Linked DNA regions of Mus musculus: all the other regions are reported to be linked to region 2. The links are microRNA targets in miRTarBase. Many come from high-throughput screens and were not tested one by one. Region 2 holds a microRNA gene; each other region holds the end of a gene's coding sequence.
What was found. The annotated mature microRNA mmu-miR-30c-5p reads UGUAAACAUCCUACACUCUCAGC and lies in region 2 at 4,693-4,715, shown strand. An mRNA with a match to its seed (bases 2 to 7 or 8) in the 3' UTR can be bound and repressed. Matches are read on the target gene's strand: a 7mer-m8 pairs with bases 2 to 8, a 7mer-A1 pairs with bases 2 to 7 and ends in A, and an 8mer does both.

Region 1: miRTarBase lists Tbc1d5 as a target of mmu-miR-30c-5p. Seed matches in the 3' UTR shown: 7mer-m8 at 548-554 and 7mer-A1 at 713-719.
Region 3: miRTarBase lists Hoxb3 as a target of mmu-miR-30c-5p. Seed matches in the 3' UTR shown: 7mer-A1 at 3,900-3,906.

What each region holds. Positions count from the first base shown.
Region 1 is chr17:50,726,859-50,736,366 of GRCm38, reverse strand. Tbc1d5 (TBC1 domain family, member 5) reads left to right here. Exons shown (of 22, transcript NM_028162.4): 22 at 123-3,240. The coding sequence ends at 422. Among named protein-coding and RNA genes, the nearest start is that of Gm41598, 59 kb to the left of the region's middle.
Region 2 is chr1:23,287,022-23,297,446 of GRCm38, forward strand. It overlaps Mir30c-2 (microRNA 30c-2), which reads left to right and starts at 4,680; the gene lies at 4,680-4,763.
Region 3 is chr11:96,343,503-96,353,927 of GRCm38, forward strand. Hoxb3 (homeobox B3) reads left to right here. Exons shown (of 4, transcript NM_001079869.1): 3 at 598-1,194; 4 at 2,044-4,428. The coding sequence starts at 747. The coding sequence ends at 2,897. It overlaps Hoxb3os (homeobox B3 and homeobox B2, opposite strand), which reads right to left and starts at 9,892. Exons shown (of 4, transcript NR_155303.1): 1 at 9,558-9,892; 2 at 4,792-4,886; 3 at 3,325-3,387. It overlaps Hoxb2 (homeobox B2), which reads left to right and starts at 8,130. Exons shown (of 2, transcript NM_134032.2): 1 at 8,130-8,693; 2 at 9,448-10,425. The coding sequence starts at 8,309. The coding sequence ends at 10,127.

The sequences.
Region 1 (9,508 bases), not on the chromosome of region 2:
TTCCAAACTGGGTGCAGGAAGAGATGGCCATCTGGCCTCCATGCCACTCCACCCAGGCCTCTGTTGAGTGCTGTCAGTCACCCCTGCAGTCACAGGCCTTCTCCTCTGCTTTTACTTCACAGGCCTCTTCAGAGATGCCAGGGTGCACCGGTGGAACGACCCCAGATGACTTCATTCTGGTTTCCAAAGAAGATGAGGGGCACCGTGCCAGGGGGGCCTTCTCAGGCCAGGCCCAGCCTCTTCTCACCCTCAGAAGCACATCTGGGAAAAGCCGAGCCCCAGCCTGCTCCCCACTGCTGTTCTCAGACCCACTGATGGGCCCAGCCTCAGCCTCAGCCTCCTCCAGCAACCCCAGCTCCAGCCCCGATGATGACAGCAGCAAGGAGTCTGGCTTCACCATTGTGAGCCCCTTGGACATCTGAGCACAGGGCCCCACTGGCGGACACCCTGCTGAACCAGTGTCTTTTTCCCAGCATGCATTTGGCATTGGTTCAACCCACTGGAACTCTTTACAAAAAGAGGCAACTATGCTTCTTTCAATGCACTATGTTTACCAAAATGCAGATAGAGGTTTCCAGACCCTTACCTGACCCTGTGACCCTTGTTCCAATTAGGGCCAGGTCAGGTCCCCAGCTCCATACCCACTGTCAGACACAGCAGACCACATCAGAGCCACATGTCTTCCGTCCCCTCCTCCCCAGCAGCTCTGCCAGTTTACACTCAGAAGGAAAAGTTGGTTTCACAACTTCCCCTTATCAAAGCTTCAGCCACAGGGAACTTGTTGATACTGAGTGAATCTGGCAGGCAGTCTCACTCCTGCCTTGGAAGCCCAACATGCCACACAGAGGGAGCAGAGCGGGTGGCTCCCAGGGCTGGAGTCAGAGTGAATTGTAGGAGCAGGGTTTCAGATTAGGAATCAGATTCTTGTTTGACACAAATACAGTTCTGGACCCTGGGCTTCCTAAGCTTCAGCCACCGCTGTTCCTCCTTGAACAACTGGATTTCTCCTTCCAGAGTCCCCACAGCCGGGAGTGCAGTGGCTCCACGCCAGTCTGCTCTGAGATGGTTTTAAGAGTCACAGGGCTAACATCCTTGAATTGGAGAAATGTGTCCAGAGCTCTCCGGTCAGGTCTCTGAGCATGTTTAGAGCTACAGTGGCCTGTTAAATGAGGAGCACAGAGGAAAACCACATTCGCACAACCCGGAGTCAGACCTCCTGGGAATTAGACCTGGAGTTCCTTCTGTGGGAGCAGGTTTCCTGTAGAGCGTTCCAGGTACCACAAGATACAGGGCTCCTATTCAACCCCCAACACCCTATTCTTGGAGCTCAGCTGTAAACTCTGCATCCAGACACTCCAAGGATGGGCCTGCCTGCCTCGGGGCCCCTGCCTGGGCTGGGTATACATGAGACATCTCCCCGTCTATTGGCCGAGTACAGAGCTGTATTGGGCACAAAGCTAGGGACAGTGGAAATGGTGGATAGATGTAGCATCTGTTAGATGTCACCTCTGCCTTCTGTCCTCCTCAGAGAGCAGCTGGGCCTCTGGGCAGTGCCCCACCCACTAATAGCATTGTAATTCTCTACAGACAGGAATGCTAATGTCAGGATGCTCTGCAGGCTTCTTAGCTGTACTGCATAGCAGGGCTGGTGGCTCACTCACATGGTGGCGGGGCTCAGTCATGGCCTCATGAATTCTACCCCCTGCCTCTGACCAGTCTTCTCAGCATTCTGAGGAGCCTGCTTGCATACATGTCCCATGAAGCTGCTCTGTAAGAATCAGGGCCACCATCCATCCCTGCTAGAAGGCTTCCAGCAAGCATTCCACTTAAAGCCTTGACATAACCGTGTCAGTACCTTAGATCTAGTGTGGGAAGTATTGACTGATCCATCCAGGTCTGGGACAGTGCCGGCCATGTCTGTCACTGCTGAGCCCTGTCCCCAGCATCTCCTTTGCGTTGAGAATAAGGTCAATAGATAACTATCACTGGCTACCCACCAGGCCAAGAAGATGATAGGCTGACCCATTACTGTTTGAATGGACATTTCATAACCCCTCGACCTACCTGCCCTGCCCATGCCCGTGATGTGCCCCGCTCCTGTGCTTGTGTGGGTGCCACATGAGAACCCCAGGTTCACACTGAGATGTTTCTATGGTCCCTAGGCAGGCCACTCTCTCCTTGGAAGAACCAAGGATGGAAAGCTCTTCTCTAAGTGACTCTATTCTTCGTTGGTGACCATTGCTTCCCTTGGTTACCTACACTGCTGGTTTGGGATGCATTCCGTCCCTGTTATTTTATCAGGTACTTCTGTCTAATTGTACATTTTAAAGTCCTGGATATATAGAACCTTTTTCTTTAACCACATGGTAATCATCAGTTTTAATCTCTCACATTTTGATTATAGCAGCTAATACAGTTTTATACAAGCCAAGCCTAGATTAAGCCCTACTGTCGTCTGCTTTTTTATACACATTTCTGTGTTTCATGCAGTCCTCTCTGATCAGATTGGAAGTGTGAAGTAAAACATACCTGTGTGCCACAGAGGGTCGGTTCAGTGCCTCGGTTCAGTTCTCGAGAACTTCCTGGCTTAGCTTGGCAAGATGACCTTCTGCTCTGCACTAACTGCAACTTGAAGTGACCACACTGCTGCTGAGTGTAACTCTGGAGGGCAGCTGCCTCCCCGGAGCCCAGTTCTCGTAGGGGTGAATCTCCTCCGCACGGGTTGGCTGTGCTGGACAACCTTGCCAGCCATGTCTTTAGTGTCAGAAAGGCTGGACAAATGCCAAAACTCTAGTATAACCTGCTGTTCAGTACAGGTTGCTTTTGCTTGCTAAAAGCTCTCCCAGTGGCCACTAAAGACAAAGCGGGGAGCACCTGTGGCCCTGCACCGGCCAGTGCCATCTCCCTTCCCCACCCTGGAACTGCTAGGAAATGAGAGCTGGGGAAGAGGCCATGTGCATGGAGAGCTGTGGCGGCAGGCTCTTCACAGATCACATGGCCTCCTCCATGCTAGGCCCAAAAGCTGCTTCTCTCTTGTTGAAAAGAGGTGTCGTTCCTATAACCAGGCTGGTGTGGAAGTTTTCCTTCGGTGCATGAGGCTCGGCTCATCTAGTTGATATCCCAGCAGTGCCAACAATGTCCTCACGAGCCTTGGTGCCGGAGCTCATACTGATGTAGGAAATGCCTCCTTGGCAGAGCGAGCCCACTTGATGTGTACTAATAAAGGACTACTGAGAACTGGGATCACATCCACTTCTTCCAGTCACATAGCTCTGGGGTCCGGAGAGCATGGAAGCGCCTGGCCAGCAGGGCTGGTGTTGGCCATGCCTCGCCCTCACTAGCATTTCCTTCCTTTACAGCATGGGCAACCTTCATAGTCTCCTGAGACTGCTTCCTAACCGCTAAGACACCAGTGCTTCTCACTTCTCACCCCTTGCTGTCCCAGGGAAGGTTATGGAATGATGCTCCATTTCAGGAGTAGTCATGGCTCTGGAGGAGCTGCTGAAGGAAGAAGCCTCCCTCCCCCACCCCCACCCCCACCCCCACCGCCCCCACCGCCACCCACAACAGTTCATGAGCAGTCACTTACCGTGTACCCAGCCCAGCCAGCCAGTGGACACAGCATGTCCCAGCAGCCACAAGCCGGCTGACCAATGCTACAGGAATTTCTTCCTACTTAGCTCTACCTAAGAGGATCTGGGGTCTGAACCTCTCACTTCTACCTCAGGAACATCCTAGGCCAGTGCTAGCCGTTCCCTGGGTTTCCTGTCAGATTGGGCTCCTGTCACAGGCTCCTCCCGTGTTGAGCCTCCTCTCCATCCTTCCTGCTTCTGGGCTAAAGGTTGAGCCTGGCTTGAAGGGTGAGTCCTTCAGGCAAGGCAGGGCTGCCCTAGTTCAAAACACAAGAGCAATTACACAGGGCTCATCCATACCCAGGACAGCCCCTCTACATGGGAGGTTTTAACCGAGGCCTATCCAGTTGCCAGCTGGCCTCTGTGGCTGACGCCATGTTGGAGTGGCTTCTGTCCCTCAGAACACTTTGACTCTGAAGTTTGCATCTGCCAGCCAACATCCTCTGAGGTATCTGTGCCGCTGGGCACTTCTGAACTTGGAGCACATCTGCTGTAGGAAGGACTTGGCATCAGAATGCAACCACACATGGAGGGCTCCTTCCATAGCTGCCCATGTGTGTCTATGGAGAGACATGTCTGCGTCAGGATGAGGCGCCCGTGACAAAGGGAGCCCAGATGAAGGCTTCCATCCTGCCTAGGAGGGGCAGGAGTCTGGTGTCAGGCACCTGCCCCCATGTGGTGAGCGGTGGGGACACCTCCTTCCTGCTCAGGAAATGCTCTGCACTGGTTTTGTGGTAGCCTCATAGGTTCTATTCTCCCCCAAAGGTACTTGCTGTGGAGAGTGGCAGTCCTTCACTAAGCAGTGGAGCACACTCAGACCACAATGGTCATGGGAACCCAGACGCAGGATTCTGCCTGTGGTTAAGGAAACTGAGGGGAATGGAGCTGTAGTGGGGGCCATCTTCCTGTGAAAGAACTACAATGAAGACCACCATGCAAAGTTACGGCCATTCACCTCAACCCTCCCACAGCATCCTTGACCTCAACATGGCATAGCCACCTCCTTGTCCCTTCCCTTGGTCCACACCCACTCAGCTGCCCAAGCCAAGCCCTGCTGTCCTTCAATTTATTCATTGTAAATAAGGGCTAATTGTCCTTATCCCAGTCTGCTAGGTGTGGCCAGTGAGTGTCCTTCAAGTCTCCAGTTCACCCCTCCAATAAAAACAGGAGTAACCTCTTCTTCATCCCATAGAGTGAGCTCTTGCTCCAGCCTACCTCACATCAAAGCTACACCCGTCCAGCTTCCTCTCCTTGATCCCTGCTCCCCAGCCTCCACCTTAGAAGTGCCAACCTGACCAGCCAGGCAGCCCTTAGGTGAGATCCCTTTTGGCCCCAACCCGCATCGCATCCTGAGATCTCACAGTGTGGTTTCATTTTGACCATGCTACAGTTCGCCCTGGGTGAGCCAAGTCTTGACTGAATGTGTATTGCTGGCATAGACATTGCCAGGTTATGAATTCCAAGGCCTCAGGTGGCAAAGACCTGGGTGAAGCACTGAGGAACGGCAAAGCTTTCCTCCTGAGTCCAAGCATCAGTGGTTATGTTTTGCAGCGTGTGCAAAGATGGTTATAGCCTGAACCTGCCTCCAGAGCCCTCCTTCAGAGACTAGATAACTCCTCCCCTCTGTGCTGTGCCCAGTAAACAGTTTCTGGGTGGGGCAGTAGCCTACTTCCAACTTTACTCTGTGGGTGTCTGTGTGTCCTCTGTTCCCTTGCTTCTGTTAGAGTTCCAGGACCCAGGTCACACAAAACAGGGCAGGCCTTGTAGAGCAAAGGTATACAACCAAGTTCTTTTACATCACAAGCAGACTGACAGGTGGAGGTGGCTTTAAGCTCTGGGGGTGGATAATTGTGCAGTGGTGGTATCTTCCTCCCATGTCCAAATTAGTGAGACTTATCTCCAAGCTGTCCTGAGGCTGCAGGTCTTCCTCGGCCTTCCCTGCTGCTACTGTGTGTATTCATAGCAGAGTTGGTCACCACGTCCTCCTTGAAACCAGGGCCCATATCTTAGCTGCTACTATTTATTGAGGATCTGGCATTTGTCAAACCCTGCCCAGAGCTGAAGACTCACCATGAAAAGATGGATCTCTAGCTCTTTAGAACTTACAGTCTAGCTAGAGAGATGTAGGGCTTAGCAGATGAGCAAACGGGGCATAGGCAGCAATGATGGGGTAGAAAGGCCACTGTCATTTTCCTCCAGCAGGAACATGAAGGCCAGAGGCCTGGAATGGAACCCAATGTCGGGAAATGTTAGCGTCTTTCAAGCTTGCCTGCCTCAGTCACCCTGGGGATGCCCCTCTCCCAGTTAAGAGGGACACTGTGGACAGTAGCTCTGGAGCCCATTTCTCCATCTCAGGCAGATGCTTGGCTCCCTGCAACAGTACTGTATGTGGTTACATCCAGTTGTCACCCACATAGCTAACAGGGCAGGTACTTTATGTCTGTCTTGGACACTGCTCAGCCCTGAGGCCCACCACTGACCAAGGAAGCCTGGGGTAGCATAAGCTCTGAACTCAAGGCTCTGCAGAGCCACGGCAGCTTCTGCAGCTTCAATCCACAACAGCCTGCACCAGAGCACAGACCCTCTGGCTGGCCACCTAAAGAAGGAAAATGCACTAGAGAGAGGGCTCAGTGGTTAAGAACACTGGCTGCTCTTCCCAGGTTCAATTCCCAGCAACCACGTGGCAGCTCACAACTGTCTGTAACTGACCAGGGGACCTGACACCCCTACATAGGCATACATATAGGCAAAATACCAATGCACATGAAGTATAAATAAAACTTTTTATAAAAATGCAACTGTGTGAGGCCTGCAGGGTGGGGACGAGGCTGCTGCTGGCTTCTCAGAATCCTGTTTCTAAGAGATTCAAAGAAAGCCTGCGGCAGGCACTGCAGAGAGGGTAACCACAGGGTCACCTAGAGGTGACCAAGCAACAACCAGCACTGTGCCTCTCTGAGCTGCTCCGGGGTTTCACCATACAGTATAATTTTAGAGCCACCTCATCTTGGGGTTTGGTAAGCCAGGAAACAGTCCACCCTCCACCCATCGTGAAAGTAAGACGTCATCTTCCTCATTCTACGGTGGCTCCATTTAGATTCCTTTTATATATTCACTATCAGAGAAAGCTTCTACAATAGTAGGTTTCCAAGTGGCTTTGCTGTCCCTTGCTCCCTACCCTCCTTTAACCTGGCCTCTCATTTACTTCTCTATCTTAGGTAAGGTTTCATTGTTGTGAAGAGACACCATGGCCAAGGCAGCTCTTACAAAGGAATACATTTAATTGGGGCTGGCTTAGAGGTTCAGAGGTTCAGTCCATTATCATCATGGCAGGAAACAGGGAGGCTTGCAGACAGCCATGGTGCTGCGGAAGGAGTTGAGACTTCTATATCTTGATCCGAATGCAGCAGAAGGAGGCTGTATCAATGAGTGTATAACCCTGAGCATGTATAACCTCAAAGCCCACTACAGTGACATGCTCCTTCCAACAAGGCCACACCTACTCCATAGTGCCACTCCCCATGGGCCAAGCATTCACACTCATGAGTCTGGGCAGGAGGGTGGGGTGTAAGGGGGGTACCTAGTCAAACCACCACACCTATTATTTTAGTTTCCATTTTATCCCTTTATGATACTGTAGTCTGTTTCCCCTTCCCCATCTAGGTCCATTCAGTATCAGGAATGGGTTATATATATATTTTTTTAAATTATTGGCAAAAAGGGTCCCATAACATTATCCAAAACATTATAGACTATTCCCAATGGTTTTGGTTACTGTCAGATCCAAGAGAAACTCCATTTCCTCAAATTTCAAAAGACAGAAGGGATGTGTGTCTCTACTCACCCCGTCCTTTACCCCAAACTCCCTCACGCTCAGTCTTCTCTCCTCAGCCACTCATTCTTCTTAGAACCTTCCTAGTTCAGATATAATCATTCATTCATTCTTCCCCCTCTCCTCTCTCTCTCTCTCTCTCTCTCTCTCTCTCTCTCTCTCTCTCTCTCTCTCTCTCTCTCTCTCGTTTTTCTCCTGGTTTTTTTTTCCATGCCATGTCCAGGCTACTTCTTTCTCTCTAGGCTCTTCCAGATGCATTTGGCTGTTCTTGCTCTCATGTCTAAAATAAAGCCTTAAATATACCATTGCATGGTAATGTCACCAGTTTATGCATCTGGTGCCAAAAACCCAGGAGGCACAAATGGCCCCCTTTCCAAGGGATCTAACTTCTCCTAATTGAGCCAAGCTGCTGAGTTGACTCTCCTAAGGTATGGATCATGTGTCTCTGCTGGTTTCTGCTACCCACCATATTTGACTACAAATTCTAGAGTCACCTACCTCTTCAGCCACTTCTTCTCTCAACCCTCTATGCTTCTCCAGGGCATTTCCGGCTCCTGGAGCCTTCTACACTCTCCTGGGCATGTAGAAAGGCTCTGTCTCTGTGCCAGCACTCAGGTATGTGTCACCTTGGAACTGCCTGCCCTGTCTCTGTTAGCTCTTGGAACCCATTGCTGCTGCAGAAGCCATGCTAGTATATCAGGCAGCTTCTCTTGCTCTGCTGTGTACCTACTGCATGGAAAGGGACACTCTCCTTCCTAATCTGGGACATTTCTCTCTGACAAGTCTCTTGATCTTCTTTGGAACACTCTGGCTGAAGTTCGTGTCAGCAGAACACTTACCCTTCCTCCCACCCTTGCTCTCCCTTTATGTTCTCTGCTCTCTCCTAGAACTTGCTCTCCCCCCCCCCCCCCCCCCGCTCTCAGCTCCTGCCTGCAGATTCCTCACCTTCACCTTGGAGCAGCCTGCTCTGTCTCTGTCTCTCTCTTTCCTTGTTAGCCTGTTATCTAGGACACTTCTCTACATCCTCTTGGGCCTCTAAGATATGGACCCCTCCCTCTGACAGAGCTCCTGTTCCTGACCCTTTCCCCTAAGCCTCCCAGATGTCTGCTTTCCTGCTTGCACCATCACTGAGCTGGCTCCTTCCCTTTCAACCTCCTTTGTCCCTGCTCTCGTCTCTGCCTTCTTCGCTCTCGGTTTGCTCTGTCCCTCACTCTGACCACTGTTCAGTCCTCAGAGATCCAAGTGTCTTTTGGGCATGGATAATATTGTACAGTGTAATGCTGCTCTCCATTCTATAAAAACCTGGCTCTGGAGTGAAGACCCTTTCTCTCTAGACCAGAGCAAGCTTATTTAAATGTTTTTTCTAAAATCTCTGTCCTGGATCAGGCAGGCTACCTGACCCTACAGGAAGAAGGGAAGTGAGCCAGGATAGGCCAAAAAAGGACACTTGAGCTTTAAAGCAGCTAAAAGGTGAACTCTCCCCAGTAGGGATTACAGCTGCTTAGCTCTTACTCCTTTTTGGTTTTATTCAACTCTAAATACTCTCTCTCTTGTATCTCTAAAACCTTTTCTAAACTAAAAGTTTTATGTCAAGATGTGTATCTCAGGATTTGTAAACTCATGGTAAATTCATTGGTTGCAGTTTTAAAACTTCTATAAAATCTTTAACAAAAAGTTGGTTTAAAACTTCTAATAAAAAATTAATAGTGTGTGGGGGCAGTGTGATCTTAATTTGCTACTGCATATTGTATATGTACCTTGGATTTAACTATTTTTTTTTAGAAAAAATGGATTAAAGAAAGAAAGAAAGAAAGAAAGAAAGAAAGAAAGAAAGAAAGAAAGAAAGAAAGAAAAGAAAGAAATGGATATATGCCTGATTGGCTTACCTTGGAGTACATAGCGACCACGTGGCTTGCAGCCATTTTTTACTAAAGCTAAAGAGTACATGTCATGTGACTTCACCACTATCATGAATAAAATGACCATGTGGTATAAATCAACGAAGGCAGCACCTATAATACTGAACCCCAGCTTACCGTATCTTCTA
Region 2 (10,425 bases):
TCTAGACTACTTTTTGAGAAAGAATCATTTAATCCATTAGGATGTCATAAAAGGCCTCCTTTTTCTGTGACTATTAAGCTTTGCTATGGTTGCTAGAAGCAGCAACAAACGCTTGGACTTTACATTTGGCTTAAGAGAAAGATCTGTCCTCTTCCTACAGGAAGGATTAGACCAAAAGAATGAAGACATTGTTGAGTGGTAAATTTAGAATGTTTGTATAATAGTATCACAGAAAGTGCTTATAAGGATAGGTACTCTAAGAGAACATGCCTGGGGCATCATAGGATGTTACTATGTTATTTAATCATTTTATAACACCTGAGGTACTCAAAGGCTAGTTTAGCAGTTTTACTCCATTTCTGGTGATGTTACAGTTTCAGATGAATGCTGAATGATGAGAGAATTCCAGTCACAGAGCACTGATGTAATTTTTATACTTGTATAAATATTGCAGGAATAGATTCTCTTTTTAAAAATTAGTACTGACAACAAGGTTAAAAATCTTTGAGCCAGGCGTGGTGGCGCACACCTTTAATCCCAGCACTCGGGAGGCAGAGGCAGGCGGATTTCTGAGTTCAAGGCCAGCCTGATCTACAAAGTGAGTTCCAGAACAACCAGGGCTACACAGAGAAACCCTGTCTCAAAAAAAAAAAAAAAAAAAAAAAAACTTCTTTGTTACTCAGCCCCTCCTTTGTCCTTTCTCTGGTCACATTACAGCTTTCACTTTCCTGTGCTTTCCAGGTAACCATTCCCAAAGCACCTGCACATAGTTGGTTGATGGATTATAGACTTGAAACAAAATAGCTAGTATTTATCAAAGCTACTGTTTGTTATACTGAAGCCTTCACTGAAGAGACAGAATAGTTTCAGCATCCTAAGTCATGCCATTAGCCATTTGCTATTCTATCAGAGCAACAGTTCTTTCTAAAGTTGTTCCAGTAGCAACTATAGTAAATGCACAAGATTTACCTAAAACATTGATAGGACTACAATTTTCCAATTAAATTAAAAAACAGTGATTAAGTTTTATAGTTGTCTAATAAGTGTTCCAATTTGGCAACACTGATCAAAATACCTTCTGTTTGGCTACTGCCATACCCCCCTGTCCCTATGGCCATAGTCAGAACTAGCTAACTTTTCAACATAAAAATCCACATTTGTTTATTGTGACTAACAATGTCAAAGTGACCTGTGTTTACAGTTCATGTGGAAAGAGGATTAAAATTGGGTGTGACAATTTTATTTGAACATTTTCCATTTACACCATTGAAAAAATACATATATCATCATTCAAACCTTAGGGTTTCATAATGTTTGATTATTTTTTGGATGTGTTTGTTTTTAACTTGAGATTTCCCACTTAAAACAGCAATAGTATTTTTTAAATATAAGATTCAATTATATTAAATTCATGTGTTTTTTCTTCTACGAACAATAGCTTAAGTAAAACAAGCATAGAAGAGAAGGTGGTGGGAATGAAGATCCCAACGTTTAAGGAAAATGTAATCAGATATATTACATGAGGATAGTGGCCTCCTGACTTTAATCTGTTCACAGAGTTTCCCAGAAGATTGTCTATTCTGTACACTATAGAATTTGCTATGTCTTGGTTTAAACAGTATGATTTCAGTTATACCAAGAATCTAGACAGAAAATCCCATCAAGCAGTTCTGGATGGGAGAAGGGAACCTTTTCTTTGAGATGAACTTAAGAAGTTAATGAAACAGTGGACTTTTTCTTTTTTTTTTTTTTTTTTTGAACAAAGAATATTTTCATTAAGCTAGAGAACTCTTGCGTGAGATAAAGCTCCACATTTTGTGAGGATAGTGTTTTACTGACTCCACAAGAACATATTGCTGGTTATGCACATATTGTAACAATGCAGTGAGGTACTGAAACTGCAGTTAGCATCCAGGGAAGAGCAACACAATAGAATAGGAAAGGTGAAGTTGTGATACATGAAAGTTACTGTTAGGTTTTGTTGTGACTTCTTCATAGTTCCTTAGAAATTCCCATGTAATTCATTGTTCCTCACAGATTTATTTACTACATTGTAGATATTTGGATTTGGGGGTTATAACTAGGGGCTAATGATCCCCTACTCTTAGAAAATAAAATGTATGTAGTATGCATGGCTGGTGTATGCCAAGCCACACATGAGGAGGCCAGAGCACAGCTTAGTAGAGTTGGTTCTCTCCTTCCATTTTGGTTGGGAGTTATACCCAGGTTTTCAGGTTTGGCAGCAAGCACTTTTGTATGCCTTAAACCATGCTGCCAGACCATGTGCTCTTCTACATGGATGGGCAAGATGAAAGTGACATGAAAAGTTATAGGCAACTTAGCCTAAATGAAGTATATGCAAAGGAGAGGGCAGAAGGTGCAGTAACCGGGAGATAATCAGAAAATAGGAGGTATCTGATGCAAAGACGTCACTACCTGCCTAGATGAAGGATTCTTCAGGAATTAGAAATGCTCATGGCTAAGTCCTGGTATACAAGATAAGTCAAGCTTCAAAGGGTTAACCATGGTTGTCTCTGTATTGTTTATAATTACTTTAATTCTGGTACATTTGGGGTTTTTTAAATGAGGATTAGGAAAGACTAGTATATATCTTGAAATGTTAGATGTAGTGTGTTCTAGGGATTTTAAAAATCAGGTAATGGCCAAAAAAAATGATTTTATGGGGGGGAGACAGTATGCCAGGTTTATAGCTTAAAAACCTCAATCTAGTTGTTGGCACAGGGTAGGGTGGAGGAAAGTGGTGAGGTGATTTAAATACAGAGCCTTACCAACTGCCACTGGGCTCAGATACACACTTCGGGGGCTTTATTATTATTATTATTATTATTATTATTTAGAACTGAAAATGACCAAGTTTTCTTTTCCAGGAAGCTTTGGTGATGCTTAAAGACCAGAACTAAAGTTATGTTCAAGATTATGTTTAGTTCTTACAGACTGTTTGACAGTTTAAATCCTTAAATGATTGTGATTAAGGCAGTTTCCTTTCATTCCTGTCCATTTTTAAACTGTTTACATGGATGTCTCTGAAGTTATTTTTCACCCTGACTTTTCTTTATTTGGAATCCATCAGAGAAATAAAATTTAAAAATCAGGTGGTTCTCAGGGAGGGTTAACTTTCCCTAAGATCTTGCTGTCACTTAAGAAAAGGTTGGCTAATGTAATCACTTCTCCTCCTAGCCATGAATGCCATAGAAAAGTATAGCAGCTGTACTTTGAATTACTAGGCAATTACAAAGACTGTTTCTGGAATGGTTGTTCCTTTTCTTCTTGTTTTAAGAAATTTATATTCTTGAAGTGATTAGATTGCCAGATATTAGATAGCATCATTCATATATTTATTCTTTAAATACTGTTTATACCCAATAAACCCTGGTTCCATGTTATGGATTTTCATCAAATAGAATGAAATTGAGTAAAACTAAACTAAACTTCCCAGGAAACTTGGTTTTATAGAGAGATAGGAAATAGCAATACTAACAACAATGAACTATGAGTTGGTTATAGATAAACATTCAAGACATAATGATGGAGAAAGGACAGAATAGGTAGTTCCTATGGGGTGACAGGGCCCAGATTTTACCAGAGATCAGTGGAGGCTGCTTTGGAAGAGAGATGCTAGATTTGAGATTTGAGACAGTATGGGACTAGTTAGTCTCAATTACCATTTATTTTAGGGCTGATTCTTGACCCACTACTGCAGTACCTCCTACACTACGATTGATGCATCTATCCTGCAGATTAGGTTGTTTTGAGGATTGAGATTGGTAGTATTCATTTCTCCTTACCCAGCATTTTACATCACTGCTGGTATGTGGCAAGTACATACAAATGTTTATCTAATGCATGAATGAGTGATTTGTGTTCACACTGGTTCACAGGTGGTAGTCTCATCATGTAGGCTTGTTTTGTAATGTTTTATATAAGCGATGACTTTCTTCTTTGCTATCCAATAGATCAATTTAGTAAATCAACTCTATTCCAGGAACTGTTTGAATCATTCATTATCAGAAAAGAACTTAGGAATTGACTGGCTCCATTTATGTGTATGCCTCCAGTTATATATTTCTTTCCACATACAACATTTTAAATTTTCTAAGATTATGCTATATTTAGTGTACCAGCTTAATGCATTATTTTATATCCCAACCAACATGTTTACTCTGCTCATTGGATTGATTTATGACTTCATAACCCACCAATAAGATAAATGGCTGTCAGTGATTAAACTTTTGTATAGTCTTATGTCTGCAGATATAATTGAACAGTTGTTCTCAGTTCTGTTAGGAGTGAAGCAGAACAAAAATCATATAGCTGAGACAGCGAGAAGGTAGACTTGTTTTCCTAAAGTTAGAGAGCAGGGTAGTAATTCGAAAGGAAATTCCTCAGACCATTTTGGGAAAGCATAGAAATGCCTGGGTATTAGGGCCAAACCAGGAAATCCCAGGAGAATCCTGGCATGTGCAAAACAGAAATTGATTAGGCATCAAGAAGGTAAGCATCCTGCAGCCTTCTTACCGGCTCCAGACCTAGAAGCTGAAATTTAGTCCCAAGTACACTCTGTTTTCTAGCCCCTGTTCTAACACGTCACGGGATCTCCAGATGTTCCACGGCATCCTGATGCTTGTGCTGCTCACCGCCAACCTGCTCTAGAGAGCACTGAGTGACAGATATTGTAAACATCCTACACTCTCAGCTGTGAAAAGTAAGAAAGCTGGGAGAAGGCTGTTTACTCTCTCTGCCTTGGAAATCAGCTAAGAGAAATGAATTTTAGATGGCCTATAGGTGATCCTATCAAAGATCTGTTATGCGGTCAACTCTAAAAGGTAAAAGGGTGAGCTAATCTGTGCTAAGAAGTACAAGACACTTTGGGAGATTGGTTATTTTTAACTGTTTAAGAAGACCAAGTATGGTGGTGTGTGCCTATAATCCCACTACTCAGGAGACTGAGACTGTTGACTAGTTTAAACCAGGTTGGGTTACCATGTAAGATTCTGGGCTACATCAAGAAAGCTGTCTCATAAAAAGTTTGTATGAGACTATTATTTCATAGATTGCTGTGGTAGCCTGTTATATGAAGCCAATAATACACTAAATGCCTGCATTTTAGCTCACCAATTTTTCTATTAACTTGGCTAGCATTTTATATACTGTGTTTGTATTTTGATGGTGTCTGGGACTTGTTACTTTACCAGGGATGAGATGCAGTTTAAATCCTTATATGACAAAAACTTGCTATTTAAGGTGGGATTGTTTGGTGCAGTTGGGGGATATACATGAAGAGAATTTTAAGCAAAATCTATGGTACTACCTTCCAAGTTCAACTTTTTTCTTTTTACAGTAAATCATCTATATTAAATGTTTTTTGAACACCTCATCTAGAATTTGGGGTTGTGCAAAATGTGAGTTCTTTTTGCATTGGGCAATCTAACAAGCATCTACCACTAACCTACATCTCCAACCCCAACAATTAGATATTGTTTTAATCAATATCAAACGTCTTCTTTTCAGAGATACTGAAGATAAAAGTATATTCTTACACAACAAACTCTTAGGATATTAAAATACTTAATGCATATATTAAATTATATATATATATACACATATACAAACTTGGCATACTAGCATGCCTCAGTCATTTAAACCAAAAGACATTATATTGCCTTAAGTATATTAGAGAAGCATTTTGTTTCTTCAGAGCTCCAAATGTAGCATATAAGATAGCATGTAGGTCTAGTTTAAAAAATATATATATAAATACAGTGAGTTCAGCATGTGAGTTCAAGAAAGTATTTGGACAAACTGGTTTTATATCAGATAAAGATACTGTTGAAGTACTAGCTGAGCAACTCAGCTTGGATGAGTCATTAACCTTTCTAGATTTGCCTTCAGGCTTAAAGAAACCTTCAAGACAATGCTCTATATTCTCCTGAAAAGAACAGTTACTATTGATTGAACTTGCACTTTCTGCCAGGGATACAGGCTGCTCTGGACAAGGACAGCTCTGCTGGAAGTAGGTGGAGTCCGACACCACATGTGCTCTCACTGCTTTTTATTGAGAAATTAACAAGAAAGACACCTGGATATTCCATATCAAAACTGGCATTGAGTTTTAGCTCTTCAACACTTACTGAAAAGTATGAAATTAAGTGTATTATTAAACAAATATTTATCGACTGAGCCACTTCTTGGGTATAGAAATGTGGCAGAGACTTAGAAATAAATAATATGTCATGAGAGATCTGTGTATTCTATGTATTTATGTAAAATAATCCAGCTTTATTCAGTGATATTTTTGCCCTTTCAGTTCTTTGATACCAAATAAATTTTAGTATTTCAGAATACTATAGAACACTTGCAGACATAAACCACTTTCTTCCTCATATGTCTTAATAACAATAGTGAATGTGACATGGCTAACTCGTATAAGTAAACATGCTTAAGAGGTCAGTGTTTTCTTGATACATTTTATGTACATGTCACATGTCTTTGTTGAAAAGATATTGAACAACAATATGAACTAACCATTATCCCCAGAACTCGTGGCTCTAGCTGCACATGTAGCAGAAGATGGCCTAGTCGGCCATCGTGGGAGGAGAGGCCCTTGGTCTTGCGAAGATTCTATGCCCCCATATGGGGGAATGCCAGGGCCAAAAAGTGGGAGTGGGTGGGTTGGGGAGCAGGGGGAGGGGGGAGGGGATAGGGGATTTTTGGAGAGGAAACTTGGAAAGTTTGAAATGTAAATGAAGAAAACATCTAATTAAAAAAAAAGGTTGTTAACAAGTTATAAAAAAGTTGTATGTTTATTTACTGTCTGTTATATAAATGCAAATATCATTGTCATTATACAAGTAAACCTAATTACTTTGAAACCTTTGTTCAAATTTATAGCTTTATCTTCACATATTTGTATAATTACCGATGCTGTAAACACTTTAAAAGAATATGAGTAAATATCAGTGTTCTATTGGAAAAATAAAAAAGCTTTAATCAACTTATTGTAAACTTAATAAAAATAGAAATTTTGCCTATTTCATCTTTGAATTATTTTCTTGTCTTAATATATTAATTTTATGTCTAGTGATCGCTTTCTATAAAACTAACTTAGATTTCCCAATTTGAATATACTTATACTCTTCATTTTGAAACTATAGAAAGCAGGTTATTAATTACAGTATCAGTCATTGAAAAGTTAAAAATCAGTTATCGCTATATAAGTAACAAATGAAAATGAAGAAGAGTTGGCATATTTCGACACCATAGAGAAAAGTGAAGATAGGGCAGACTGATTCACCTTGTCATAAGGAGGCTTTCAACTCTGGGAGGTATGAAAGAGACAACTGTTAGCTGCTGTCTGGGATTTCTGGAGGTTTCCATAGCCACATATGAGTCCTTGGGTCTTTGATGGGCCTGAGTGAGTAAAGGTTTCTGCCACCAAGCCTGATGTTTAATCCCTAAGATCTACTTATTGAAAGGAGAGAACCACCTCCCATGAGTTGTTTTCTGAAAACCACATGCTAGCTTATGTGTACATATACAGCAAAACACTCATGAGTAAATAAATGTAGTAACAAATTAAATATCAGCCCTCCATCATGTTAAGGTTTTGAAGTGAGATTTCCATAAAGACAGGGATATAAATAGATTGTACATTATAGATTGTACATTTAGTGCTCTCAGTTTTAAATTTTGGAGTGGTTATTATAGTTGAGATTTTTTTTATAATTTTAAGGGGTAGGAGAATTTATGATTTTTATTTTTAAAATTTTCATAAAGGAAAATTTTCTTTTTTCTTTAATTTTAAACACTACTTTTTGTTTTTTAGTCCTATACTTAACCAAAAGAAAAGAGATTTTGACCCCTTTATCGATCAAATTCCAGCTGTTAACATGCTTCACAGAATACTGCTCTGGGGACAGTACAACTCCATGTATAGGTTATTGGGATGTTAGAGTAGCTGAAAAATGTCACTCAAAATGCTTTGGACAGTGCCATCCAACAATACATTTCAGCCCAAATCATAGTGGTATCAAGATGCACAACCAAACAGATAATCTAATTCCAGAAGAATTGGAACTATTAACACTTATCTGTAGTGTACTCCTGGAACACTATAGGCCTGAAAAAGACATCTAAAACTAATCAAAACTAAAGATTAAAAATTAGCTGAATAGAATGTGTGCCTTTAGAGTAACTGTAAACATCTTGTTGACTTTTTCAAAGGCTTTGTCAGTAAAATGTCAGCTATGGGGATTTTTTTTTTTGTTGTTTGTGTTAATTTTTAATAGTAACCTTCAGTTAAGGGGCAGGGAAAGGAAAGGACAGATGTTGGTTTTAAAAGCATGAACTCCTGATGTGTTGATTTCTATGACACGGGAATACAAAGCATAGCTTTTTAGCAGAAGCTTGCTAAGAGAATAAAAGAAATTTCGAAAATTGAGATATTTAAGTTTCAACTGTTAAAGAGTTGCTCCTGTTTGGTGTGTGTGTCGGGGGGTGGAGGAGGGAATGTTATTTTAAATTCCAAGGTTTATGGGGTAAACCCAGATATTGGGTAGTTTGATCATGCCTGGCAGTTGAGAGTTTGACAACACTCAGGACTTGACAGTGTTGTTCAGTTCTTTAAGACCTGTTGAGTTTTCTAAACAGCACTAAAAAGCTTTCAACACGAAGCGTGGGTGCTTCTTTTTTTTTTTTTTTCCATTTTTTATTAGGTATTTAGCTCATTTACATTTCCAATGCTATACCAAAAGTCCCCCTTACCCACCCACCCCCACTCCCCTACCCACCCACTCCCCCCCTTTGGCCCTGGCGTTCCCCTGTACCGGGGCACACAAAGTCTGCATGTCCAATGGGCCTCTCTTTCCAGTGATGGCCGACTAGGCCATCTTTTGATACATATGCAGCTAGAGTCAAGAGCTCAGGGGTACTGGTTAGTTCATAATGTTGTTCCACCTATAGGGTTGAAGATCCCTTTAGCTCCTTGGGTACTTTCTCTAGCTCCTCCATTGGGAGCCCTGTGATCCATCCATTAGCTGACTGTGAGCATCCACTTCTGTGTTTGCTAGGCCCCGGCATAGTCTCACAAGAGACAGCTACATCTGGGTCCTTTCAGTAAAATCTTGCTAGTGTATGCAATGGTGTCAGCATTTGGAAGCTGATTATGGGGTGGATCCCTGGATATGGCAGTCTCTACATGGTCCATCCTTTCATCTCAGCTCCATACTTTGTTTCTGTAACTCCTTCCATGGGTGTTTTGTTCCCACTTCTAAGGAGGGGCATAGTGTCCACACTTCAGTCTTCATTTTTCTTGAGTTTCATGTGTTTAGGAAATTGTATCTTATATCGTGGGTATCCTAGGTTTTGGGCTAGTATCCACTTATCAGTGAGTACATATTGTGTGAGTTCCTTTGTGATTGTGTTACCTCACTCAGGATGATGCTCTCCAGGTCCATACATTTGGCTAGGAATTTCATAAATTCATTCTTTTTAATAGCTGAGTAGTACTCCATTGTGTAGATGTACCACATTTTCTGTATCCATTCCTCTGTTGAGGGGCATCTGGGTTCTTTCCAGTTTCTGGCTATTATAAATAAGGCTGCTATGAACATAGTGGAGCATGTGTCCTTCTTACCAGTTGGGGCTTCTTCTGGATATATGCCCAGGAGAGGTATTGCTGGATCCTCCGGTAGTACTATGTCCAATTTTCTGAGGAACCGCCAGACTGATTTCCAGAGTGGTTGTACAAGCCTGCAATCCCACCAACAATGGAGGAGTGTTCCTCTTTCTCCACATCCTCGCCAGCATCTGCTGTCACCTGAATTTTTGATCTTAGCCATTCTCACTGGTGTGAGGTGGAATCTCAGGGTTGTTTTGATTTGCATTTCCCTGATGATTAAGGATGTTGAACATTTTTTCAGGTGCTTCTCTGCCATTCGGTATTCCTCAGGTGAGAATTCTTTGTTCAGTTCTGAGCCCCATTTTTTAAGGGGGTTATTTGATTTTCTGAGGTCCACCTTCTTGAGTTCTTTATATATGTTGGATATTAGTCCCCTATCTGATTTAGGATAGGTAAAGATCCTTTCCCAGTCTGTTGGTGGTCTTTTTGTCTTATAGACAGTGTCTTTTGCCTTGCAGAAACTTTGGAGTTTCATTAGGTCCCATTTGTCAATTCTCGATCTTACAGCACAAGCCATTGCTGTTCTGTTCAGGAATTTTTCCCCTGTGCCCATATCTTCAAGGCTTTTCCCCACTTTCTCCTCTATAAGTTTCAGTGTCTCTGGTTTTATGTGAAGTTCCTTGATCCACTTAGATTTGACTTTAGTACAAGGAGATAAGTATGGATCGATTCGCATTCTTCTACATGATAACAACCAGTTGTGCCAGCACCAATTGTTGAAAATGCTG
Region 3 (10,425 bases), not on the chromosome of region 2:
GGAGGGAAGAGTCCCAGATGAATTTGCTTTTCATTCTGGCTTGGGTCTAAGATCTGCAAGTTCCAGGCTAGACTTTGCTTAGGTGGAAAGATATGGAAGGAAGAAAGACTGGAAGCAGAGAGGCCTCCCTAAGGGAAGGAGGACCTCTGGGATGCTTCTACTTTAGAGTCTAATAGTGCCCTCTCCCTGGGATTGCCCCATCCCAGGGTTGGGGAGTTGCGGGGGTGGGGGAGGTTAAGGAAAAATTGTAGAAGAGGCCAGGGGTTGGTTATTTCGGGGTGCCAGAGAGAGGGGCAATGGTCCACGAAGCAGTGGTGTTCTATTCCTAAGCGGTCCTCGAAGGAGTACAGTCTTGATTTTGTTTTAAAAAAAAATGGAAATGAAAATGGATGTTTTCTTTTTCCCGTTAAAATTAAAGTTGAAGTGTGAAGCATCCAAGTCAGGTTAGATACTTGGTCTCAGCGTCTGCTGCAGAGATACTGGCGAGGGGAGAAGAAGAAAAAAAAAAAACTATTGATGTCAGTTCCCTTTTTAGTTCCTAAGATGGATTCGAGGCCCAGTCCTCTTCTCCCCTCTGTCTCTTCTCTCGCCCCGCAGGTCAGCCGCTTGGAACAGACCCGAGAGGAGGGGGGCAGAAAGGGGAGGGGGGTCCGGCGTGTCACGTGACCCCCAGGGGTGCCAATGTCCGGTCGTGAGGGTATCAGGCCCTTGCAAGTTGCCACCCACTGCCCGGGCCTCGCCCAGCGATGCAGAAAGCCACCTACTACGACAACACCGCAGCTGCGCTCTTCGGAGGCTACTCCTCGTACCCTGGCAGCAATGGTTTCGGCTACGACGGGCCTCCCCAGCCCCCCTTTCAGGCCGCCACGCACCTGGAGGGTGACTACCAGCGCTCAGCGTGTTCTCTGCAGTCCCTGGGCAACGCCGCCCCACATGCCAAGAGCAAGGAGCTCAATGGCAGCTGCATGAGGCCAGGCCTGGCCCCAGAGCCCCTGCCCGCACCTCCGGGCTCACCCCCACCCAGCGCCGCACCTACCAGTACCACTAGCAACAGCAATAACGGGGGTGGGCCCAGCAAAAGCGGCCCCCCCAAGTGCGGTGCCGGCTCCAACTCCACCCTCACCAAACAGATATTCCCCTGGATGAAAGAGTCGAGGCAAACGTCCAAGCTGAAAAACAGCTCCCCCGGCACAGGTACCAGCTCTCTGCCTTCCTAGTCAGCTTTTGTCCAACCCAGGAATTTCACTGTTATTATAGCATCCGACCCCAAGGCGCCCACAAGGCGGCCTGGAGACAATATTAGATGGCTGCCTAGTGCTTTTTAGCTACCTCTCACTACCTGATGACCTCTGACCTGACCAACACCCAGTCCATCCAACCATCCTCCATCTGGGCTTCCAAGAGTTTCCAGGAGGTGGGATGGTTGGCTTTACAGCCCTTCCCAAGGCCGCACCGCCTGGAGGCACAGAGTCATCAAGGATAGATTATTATTAAGTATGATTATTGTAGGTATTAATCACCATCGCTCAGGCAGCCTGGGGTCCCGGCCTGCAGCCACCCGAGCCTCTATGTGCCACACATCCAGGCCCTGCCCACCAGTGTCCAGTCTCCCCCCCCCCGCCCCCCTCCCAAGGTGTTCTCAGTCACTTGTCTTGTAAAGAGGGCGGACAGAAGGGAGGAATCACCTCAGACTTGGATTTGGATATACGGGGAGGGTGCGCGCACACGCAAAATCCTAGCCCTAAATAAATGGCCACGCAGCTCTGTCTGTTTGACATGATCAAATTTTCATAAGCTGGGGCCGTGAAAGGAGAACAGGTCTCTTAATAAATGCCACTATTATAGAGTGTCCGCTAATGCGACGGGAGGTAGGAAGGGGGGGGGTGGTGGTGTAGAGGAGGTGGGGACGCGAAGGGGAGGGCAGCGGGGCCTCCGAGTCCAGGCCTGGATTTATTAAGAAACGATGCATTCAATTTCGGCGTGTTCAGTAATTATCTTTTATTTCATTTTCTCCCCTTCCCACCCCTCCCCCCTCGGGTCCAGCAGAAGGTTGTGGTGGTGGCGGCGGCGGTGGTGGCGGCGGCGGCGGCGGTGGCGGCGGCAGCAGCGGCGGGGGCGGCGGCGGCGGCGGGGGAGGGGACAAGAGCCCCCCGGGGTCGGCCGCGTCCAAGCGGGCGCGCACGGCGTACACAAGCGCGCAGCTGGTGGAGCTGGAGAAGGAGTTCCACTTCAACCGTTATTTGTGCCGGCCGCGCCGGGTCGAGATGGCCAATCTGCTGAACCTCAGCGAGCGCCAGATCAAGATCTGGTTCCAGAACCGTCGCATGAAGTACAAGAAAGACCAGAAGGCCAAGGGGCTGGCCTCGTCCTCTGGGGGTCCCTCTCCGGCCGGAAGCCCCCCGCAGCCCATGCAGTCCACGGCCGGCTTCATGAACGCCTTACACTCCATGACCCCCAGCTACGACAGCCCGTCCCCACCAGCTTTCGGCAAAGGCCACCAGAATGCCTACGCGCTGCCTTCCAACTACCAGCCCCCTCTTAAGGGTTGCGGCGCCCCACAGAAGTACCCCCCGACCCCGGCGTCGGAGTATGAGCCCCACGTCCTCCAAGCTAACGGGGGCGCCTACGGGACGCCCACCATGCAGGGCAGTCCGGTGTATGTGGGCGGGGGTGGCTACGCGGATCCGCTGCCGCCCCCTGCCGGCCCCTCCCTCTACGGCCTCAATCACCTTTCCCACCACCCCTCGGGGAACCTGGACTACAACGGGGCGGCCCCTATGGGCCCCAACCAGCATCATGGACCCTGTGACCCTCACCCCACGTACACAGACCTCTCCTCTCACCACGCACCGCCTCAGGGTAGAATCCAAGAAGCGCCCAAACTGACACACCTGTGATGGGAGGGGCGGGCTGGGGAGGGAGGGGTGAGGTTAAGGGCCAGGGAGACGGCGGACTTGGGGGATGGGCGCGGTTTAGAGTCCTGAAAGAGGTGTGGGATGGGGTTGTCGCCAGGTTTCCAGAAACAGAACAGGCCTGGGGTGCCTTCCCAGCTCCCAGGCCCCCTCCCCGCCCCCAGGGGCTGTCTTTTAAGTCCTCCATGCCTGGTTCCATCTGTCTGCCAACAACCCTTGGAAAGGAATCCACAGCAGGTTGGAGACGGGACCACATCAATCCCAGGGTTCCCAGGGTTCCAGCACTACCAAGTGGGAATTTCAGATTGGAGAGGTGACGTGGAGTCGGGTAGAGGGAGCCAAGACAGGCAAGCAGGGCAGAGAAGCACATTCAACACTTAATGGCTTGGCTATCAGCAAGCAATCAACTTACCTTGCATCTCTGTGGGTAATTTCCCCAAAATCTTGATTTTTTTTGTTCTCCCTTTCAGTCTCCCTGTGAAAAATAAGAAAATACATTTAAATCGAAGGGCACAAAGTATGTTTCTCTCCTACTTCCCTGAAGCTTCAACTCCCCCCATCCCCCATCTGTTAGGCTTCTTACTATATCTATCATTTACTATGGCCCTACGGTTGGTTTTCTGCTCTAAGGACATTCATATCTACACCCCACCCCTATTGATTACAATTTTCAGAGGGCTCAGGGATGGTAAGATATCCTGAAAGTCAGAGCTGCCTATAATATAAATAAATATATATTTTTTTTCTTTTAAAGAAAAGTTAAGAGGCTAAGGCAGGCAAGTTGTCAGGACTGGAGGCTTGCCCATTCTCCAGTCTCTCAGCTCCCACCCCATCCCACTCCCTCCACTTTCTTTTTACTTCTGTTCTTCTCTTGACTTAACGTGAAAACAGGGTATATTTGAACAAACTGTCTGTCCTGGCAGGTGCTGCAGCTGGACCTGTGGACCTTGCTCCAGTTCCTGACAGGACAGTCTTGTTGCACTTGGAGTTTACATTTTAATGGATATTAAAAAAAAAAAAAACAACTGTGAGAGATGTCTGGGCCTGCAGAAAGTCCAGCTTCGCTCAAAAAGCGTGTGTTCTAGTGAACATTTTCATATATATTTATTGGTTATAGCCTGTTAAAATATTTTCTTTTTTGTATTATTTATCCCCCTACATTATGTATTTATATGAGGGACAAAAAAAAAAAAGAAAAATGTACTTTTTTAGTATTTACTTGTTATAAAGGTTGTTGTGTTTCCTGTCATGTAAAACCAGCTATTTTAGTTTTTATTGTATTCTAGACAAGAGCTGTAGATTTATGTTAAACTCGTACATATGAGGAATTGTAATTAGTTCTAAAAGGCATGAACTCAGCTCCTAAATGTCACTGTATAGTCCCGAATTTGTAGAGATAAGAAGTTAATTCTCTCTTGGAACTTTCTTTGTTCTTCCGTAGTTATTTTTTTCCCCCTTAGTTAAAAGAGTTGTCTGTCAAAACAATTCTTGAATAAACTTTCTGTTATTAATTTTATCTTGTCATGGTGGTCCAGTTCAGGGTGCAGAAAAAGGCTCTAGTGGCCAAATGTCCCCTAGCAGGAGGGCATTGGTGACACTCCCCAGGCTCTTTGCTCACTGCTCAGGTCGCTGTCTCCCCTTCCTAGTGTTTCCTGCTTTCAACTCAGTTTTTGACATTTGTACCAGTCTGGACCATTCTGCCAAGTTCTTCAGCTAAGGTTTAAGCAACAAGCTTGGGGGGCGGGAGGGAGGGGAGGGAATCTTGGGCTAAGTCTGCTCTTTGCCTGTCTGTTTTTCTTAGTCACTGGCCTCTTTTGTCCCTTTGACCAGCACCTCCAGGCACCCCCTCTGTTTACATCCAGGCAACCCCAAACCTAGCTTATTACTGCTTCTTCCAGGCAACCTAAACTTCACGTTCTCTTCCGGAGCTACAATGAGGCTGTCACGTGACCCGAAGCCCAACCATCATTGGGTCTAAAATGAAAACAAAGGAAAATGATTAATCTTGGGGGGGGGGGACAACAAGCCGAGGCCTAGACTTCTCAGGTCAAGCCTTAAAACTAAAGCGAAATCTAATCATTAAATGAAGCCCAGGGCAGAGGAAGAGGAGGACTGGTTAGATTTCTCCTGCCAAGGAAGAGAAGGGGGCGAGAGGAAGCTGTAGAAACCAAGCTTAAATAAAATGGTCCCCAGGCTAACGTGAGGCTCTGTTTCCACGATGCTTGGGAAAACTTCATTTCTTAGTCCTGGTTCCATAAAAGTTTTATCACATTGGAGCGAGGATGGAGAGGGTCTGTCAAAGATGAAATGTCACCACCGCATAGCGGTATCCGATGATAAGAGCAAGAGCGAGGAGACAGGGGAGGCTGAAATATGGAGCTAATTCGTTGAAAGAGAAGCGATGGCTGCCCGCTGAAGAGTTACATAATTCTAATTGTAAGCGATGAACCCGCATTGCTTAATTAGGAGCATATATTTGGTGGTAGTGGTGATACGGGGTGGGGGGGGTGGGGATATAAGAATCTTTCCAGGCCCTCAGCCTTAAAGCGAGGGCTGATTTTCATTTTTATGTTGTATCCTGGCAGTCCAAGGTTAGTAATTACAGTCTTTATGCAACAATAAATAACAATAAAAAAACAACCTGAATAATACGCCCCCTCCCCACCAAGTAGAATTTTTTTAACTGGACTTGGCTCATCTGGGCAGCAAGCAATTTAGCATTGGGCCAGGCTATAAATTAAAGGCAGAGGAGCGTGCAATGTTTGATTGGGATCAAATAACGCTCAAGGGTCTGTCTTTCCTTTTCTCTTCCTCTTCCCTGAATACCATTTCTGAATGATATAACTATGAGAAGGGTCATGTTTGACTGTGAGGGGAAGGGTGGATTGCTTATTTATCTAGCTGAAGAGGAACCAGATAAGAGAGAATTTAGCTAGCTATATTGATATATTGTGGCTTGGAGCTAGGGCTCTAAACAAAAATAGGACCTACCCTTCTGTTTTCCAGATTCTAGGTCTAAAGCTGTTTAAAAACATGGATAAAAATCTGCTCTGTAAGGTAGCAGACAGGGCTGGACGGATGTCTCTGGAAGGGAGGGAGGGTTGGAGGGTTTTCTTGGATCCCCACTTTAACACCCAAGTTTTCTACTGTTCACTAATCTGGCCATAAAATCTGTCATCAAGGGTTAGAGAGCTGTATTTCCTACAGGACAGTCTGGGCTCTGGTTGTCTTAGGAGATCCTTGGATGCTGCAGCCAGCTGGAGTGCCTGTTACAAAACTTGTGGAAGTGCCCATGCTGCCGGGGAGAAGGCCCTCTCCCAGGCCTTACTGTACAGGACTCCCTTCCAGACAGTTACTATTTGGATTCTCCTCTGCTAACCACCATCCAGGAAAATATATGCATACATTGTTTTGTTTTAGCTAAGGTACACAACACCCTCTCTGGCCGCTGGCCTAGTTAAGAGCAGTTTCCCAAGAGCCTGCCTCTTTCTGTCCTTGCAACCACCACCTCCAGGTTTCCCTCCTTCCCCCCCCCTCCCGCTTCCCGGCAAACTTCTCTGCCTTTTTCTTTTCTTTCTTTCTTTAAATACTCACCACCACCCACGCGGACGTTACACTGACAGAAAGTTTCTAGTTCCAGCTCTCCGCTGAGTTGCCATTTCTCTGCTAAGCAGCCTTCTCCTCTAGGCTAGGCGACAGAGAGCGAGGAGGGGGAGGGGAGGCCAGAGCCGTGGGAGTTCTCCGGGGCAAACTTTCCACCCAAGTTAGCGCCTTCCCTCTGTCCCCATTTCCCATCTGTTTCCTAGATCTCCCAGAATCACCTTTCTCTTTGGCTCCCCCCTCCCTCAGGCCTTTTTAAGGGATATGCAATTTAGGTTGTTCCCTCTGCTTTCCCAAAGAGCCAAATTCTTTGATGCAATCGGAGGGAGCTGTCAGGGGGCTAAGATTGATCGCCTCATCTCCTCTTGGTCCCTCTGACCCACTTATTTAAAAATCTTCCCCCAGCCGACTTTTCATTTTCAGCTTTGAGGCCTAGTTTCCCACCAATTTGCTTGTGGCTCTGAGGTTTTTTTGTTTTTGGTTTTTTTTTTTTTTTTTTTTTTTTTTGTTGTTTTTTGCCTCCTTCCTCTAGTAAATCACAATATTCTAAAATTGAGCCCATCATAGGTGCCTCACCATAGAATACATTACATTTTTTTTTCTCTCTGGAGGCCCAAAGCAGAATATAATCTCAGTGGTGGTCATTATCCCCAGCCCCCTCTCCCCCACCATCTTTAGGAAATGTTTTCTTACCAGGGATTTTAAAAGTAGCCCAAAGGCAAATACAGAGGGGGAAATCCCTTTGTCCAGAGGGCGACTGTGCACTGACTTTAGCTTTGAAAGTTAAGTGGATGGCTACTTTGGTGCCCTGGATAGAGACACAGATACACCTGGGGGCCTGTGAATACATCTGTCACCTTAGACCTTCTTAGACCCTCCTATTGCCAGGGTTGGGGTGTCACAGTGTGAGTACAGATGACCCCAACAGGAAGGCAAGTGGACATAAGAAACTGCTTGTAAATTCTGAGCAGAGACTAGAATCCAGGGCACATAGCAAGGGAGGTAGGCCCATGTCCCAAAGTGCTCCTGGAATCTATGTCCCTGCTGCGTGCCAGCTCTGTGCATTTCTTAAGTGTGAACTACTGCTTTCTGAGGGTGGGTGGGCTGCCGCTGCTGCTGGTGTTTAGTGCTGTCCTTTATCCATCTCCTTTCTGATTTCCCCCAAGGTATGGAAGCCTCTTTCTACTCCCACTTCCCCCTAAATGAGATTTTTTTTTCTTTTCTTTTGGGGGCTGAGGTGGTGGTAGGGTAAGAGGCTACTGAGGGCCACATAAAGAAAGCATATTAACTCACTCCATTTCTCCCTTAAATGTGGTTGTTTGCCACCACCACACAGTCTCTGAAGGGAAGGAAGAGGTTCTTTTGGCTTTTCTGGGAAAAGAGAGCCATTAGGGAGAGTGTAGGGTACTGATGAAGGAACAGGGGTAGAGGAGGAAGCCTCATGGTATCCAGGTCGTGGTCCTCTGGAGTTTTTGAATCAATTAAAGCAAATAATGCCTGTGTTTTCCACTAGGCCTAGACTAGCGATTGGCGGAGACCGGTCCCGTGACCATGAATTCCCTGCAATTTCGGCGGAGTCCTGGGTTTAATAGAGAGAGTCCCCATACGCTTGTATTTATCAGCAATATACAATTATAAAGGCCTAAATTTAAAAAAAAAAGAGAGAGAGCGAAATCTCCCCCCCCCCGCGAAATTGCTCCATTGCATAAACCTGGGGGGGGCGGGAGAGGGGGGTCCCTCTGATTCTCCCTCCTGACGCCCCCCCCAGCAGGCCCCCTCCCCCACCATTGAAAGCCATGAATTTTGAATTTGAGAGGGAGATTGGGTTTATAAACAGCCAGCCATCGCTCGCCGAGTGTCTGACTTCCTTCCCCGCTGTCTTGGAGACATTTCAAACTTCATCAATCAAGGAGTCGACATTAATTCCTCCTCCTCCTCCTCTGGAGCAAACCTTCCCCAGCCTCCAGCTCGGCGCCTCCACCCTTCAGAGACCAGGGAGCCAAAAGCAAGCCGGAGATGGGCCTGCTCTGCGGTCACCGCCGCCACTCCCCGTTGCCCCCCCAGCCCCCGAGTTCCCCTGGATGAAAGAGAAGAAATCCACCAAGAAACCCAGCCAATCCGCCGCATCCCCTTCTCCAGCCGCCTCCTCGGTCCGGGCCTCCGAGGTCGGATCACCATCAGGTGGGTAAACGTATTAGGGGCGGGGTGAGGGGCAGTTGGAAGAGAAGGGGAGAATGTGAGGTGATGGGGCTCCTGGTGGGGTTCCCTAGGTCGACGGATCTGGGGCGAGGGAAGCAGAGTATCCCGCTGGGGTTCAGGCCTAGCCACTGTTAGCTTCCCCACCCCCAGAAAATTTTGGAAGCTGATTGAGGGTGGGGAGGATGCTTTTTTTTTTTTTTTTTTTTTAAATGTGCTTAGAAAAAAATGATTCGATTGAAGGGTTTCCCCGGTTTCTGTGTAGAGGAATGAAGCGTGTCTGGGATTGAATCTGGAGCCTGGAAAAGATGCGATGCCTCTAGCTCTCCTAAAGCTAGGGAAGAAGAGGGAATTCAAAAGCTAGGAAGGAAAGGGGTGAAGAACAATCTATGATCCCTCTCTCCCCAGGTTGAGTTGGAAAGTTCTGAATTGAGGGGTCCATTGGGAGGACTTGGGGGAGGGAGACTCTGAGGTCCTGGGAGCTAAGAGAAATTGCTCCCCGCCCCCTACGTGGCCCGTGGGCGGCTCTGAAGGCACCGACTTGACCCGGGCCGGGTCTGCCTACGTGGAAGAGCACTAAAAAAAACCCCAAAGACACAGAAAGAAGCGCTGTGGGGGTGGGGTGGGAGCCCGAGTAGGACTGCTGAGAGTCTTTTAAGCCAAAGGGGTGCTCCCGATCTCAGCTAAACGGAGGCTGCGTTGAGACCTCTCTGATAACATAGGGGTGCTTCCCTCGCAGATGGCCCCGGATTGCCAGAATGCGGCGGCAGCGGCTCCCGCAGACTGCGCACGGCCTACACCAACACGCAACTGCTGGAGCTGGAGAAGGAGTTCCACTTCAATAAGTACCTGTGCCGGCCGCGTCGCGTCGAGATCGCTGCCTTGCTGGACCTCACCGAAAGGCAGGTCAAAGTCTGGTTCCAGAACCGACGCATGAAACACAAGCGGCAGACGCAGCATCGAGAGCCGCCCGAGGGAGAACCAGGCGGGCCGAGCGCCCAGGACGACGCGGGAGAGCCAGCCGAGGAACCCACGGTCAGCCCGGGCGACGTCGCGACTCACCGGCTGCGGGAAGCCTGCTTCCACCCCGCCGAGGCCGCGCAGGGACCCCGGGGCGCACCGCCGTCAGCGCTGCCTGCCACCACCCTGGAGAGTGTGGGCGCATCGAGCCCCGGCTGCACAATGCTCAGAGCCGGAGGCCGGCAGAGCGAGCCCCTACCCGAAGACGCCTGCCCCGAGCGGCAGGATTCGCCTTTTCTACCGGACCTCAATTTCTTCGCTGCAGACTCCTGTCTCCAGATGTCCGGAGGCCTTTCACCCAGCCTGCAGGGTTCTCTCGATAGCCCCGTGCCCTTTTCCGAGGAAGAGCTGGACTTCTTCACCAGCACGCTCTGTGCCATCGACTTGCAGTTTCCCTAACTGTTTTCCATCTTTGGTCCTTTCCGTCTGGTCCTCCTTGGCTGTTGGGGGCGGGGGGAATCGGGCCTTCTCCACTCGTGGATACATTTATGCCGTTTTGTTAAAATCCAGATAGTAACGAATTAGCGTTTCATTCACTCCTTTTCGCTTTTTAAAACCACACACAAAAAATTCCACTTGGTAAAACTCCTTCCAACGAAATCTCAGGAATAATTAAACTCTAGTGGGAGAGGGTTTTCTTACAAAGAACTAGAGGGACCTATTTTCCTCTTTTTTAAGTTTTAGATTGTAGATTATT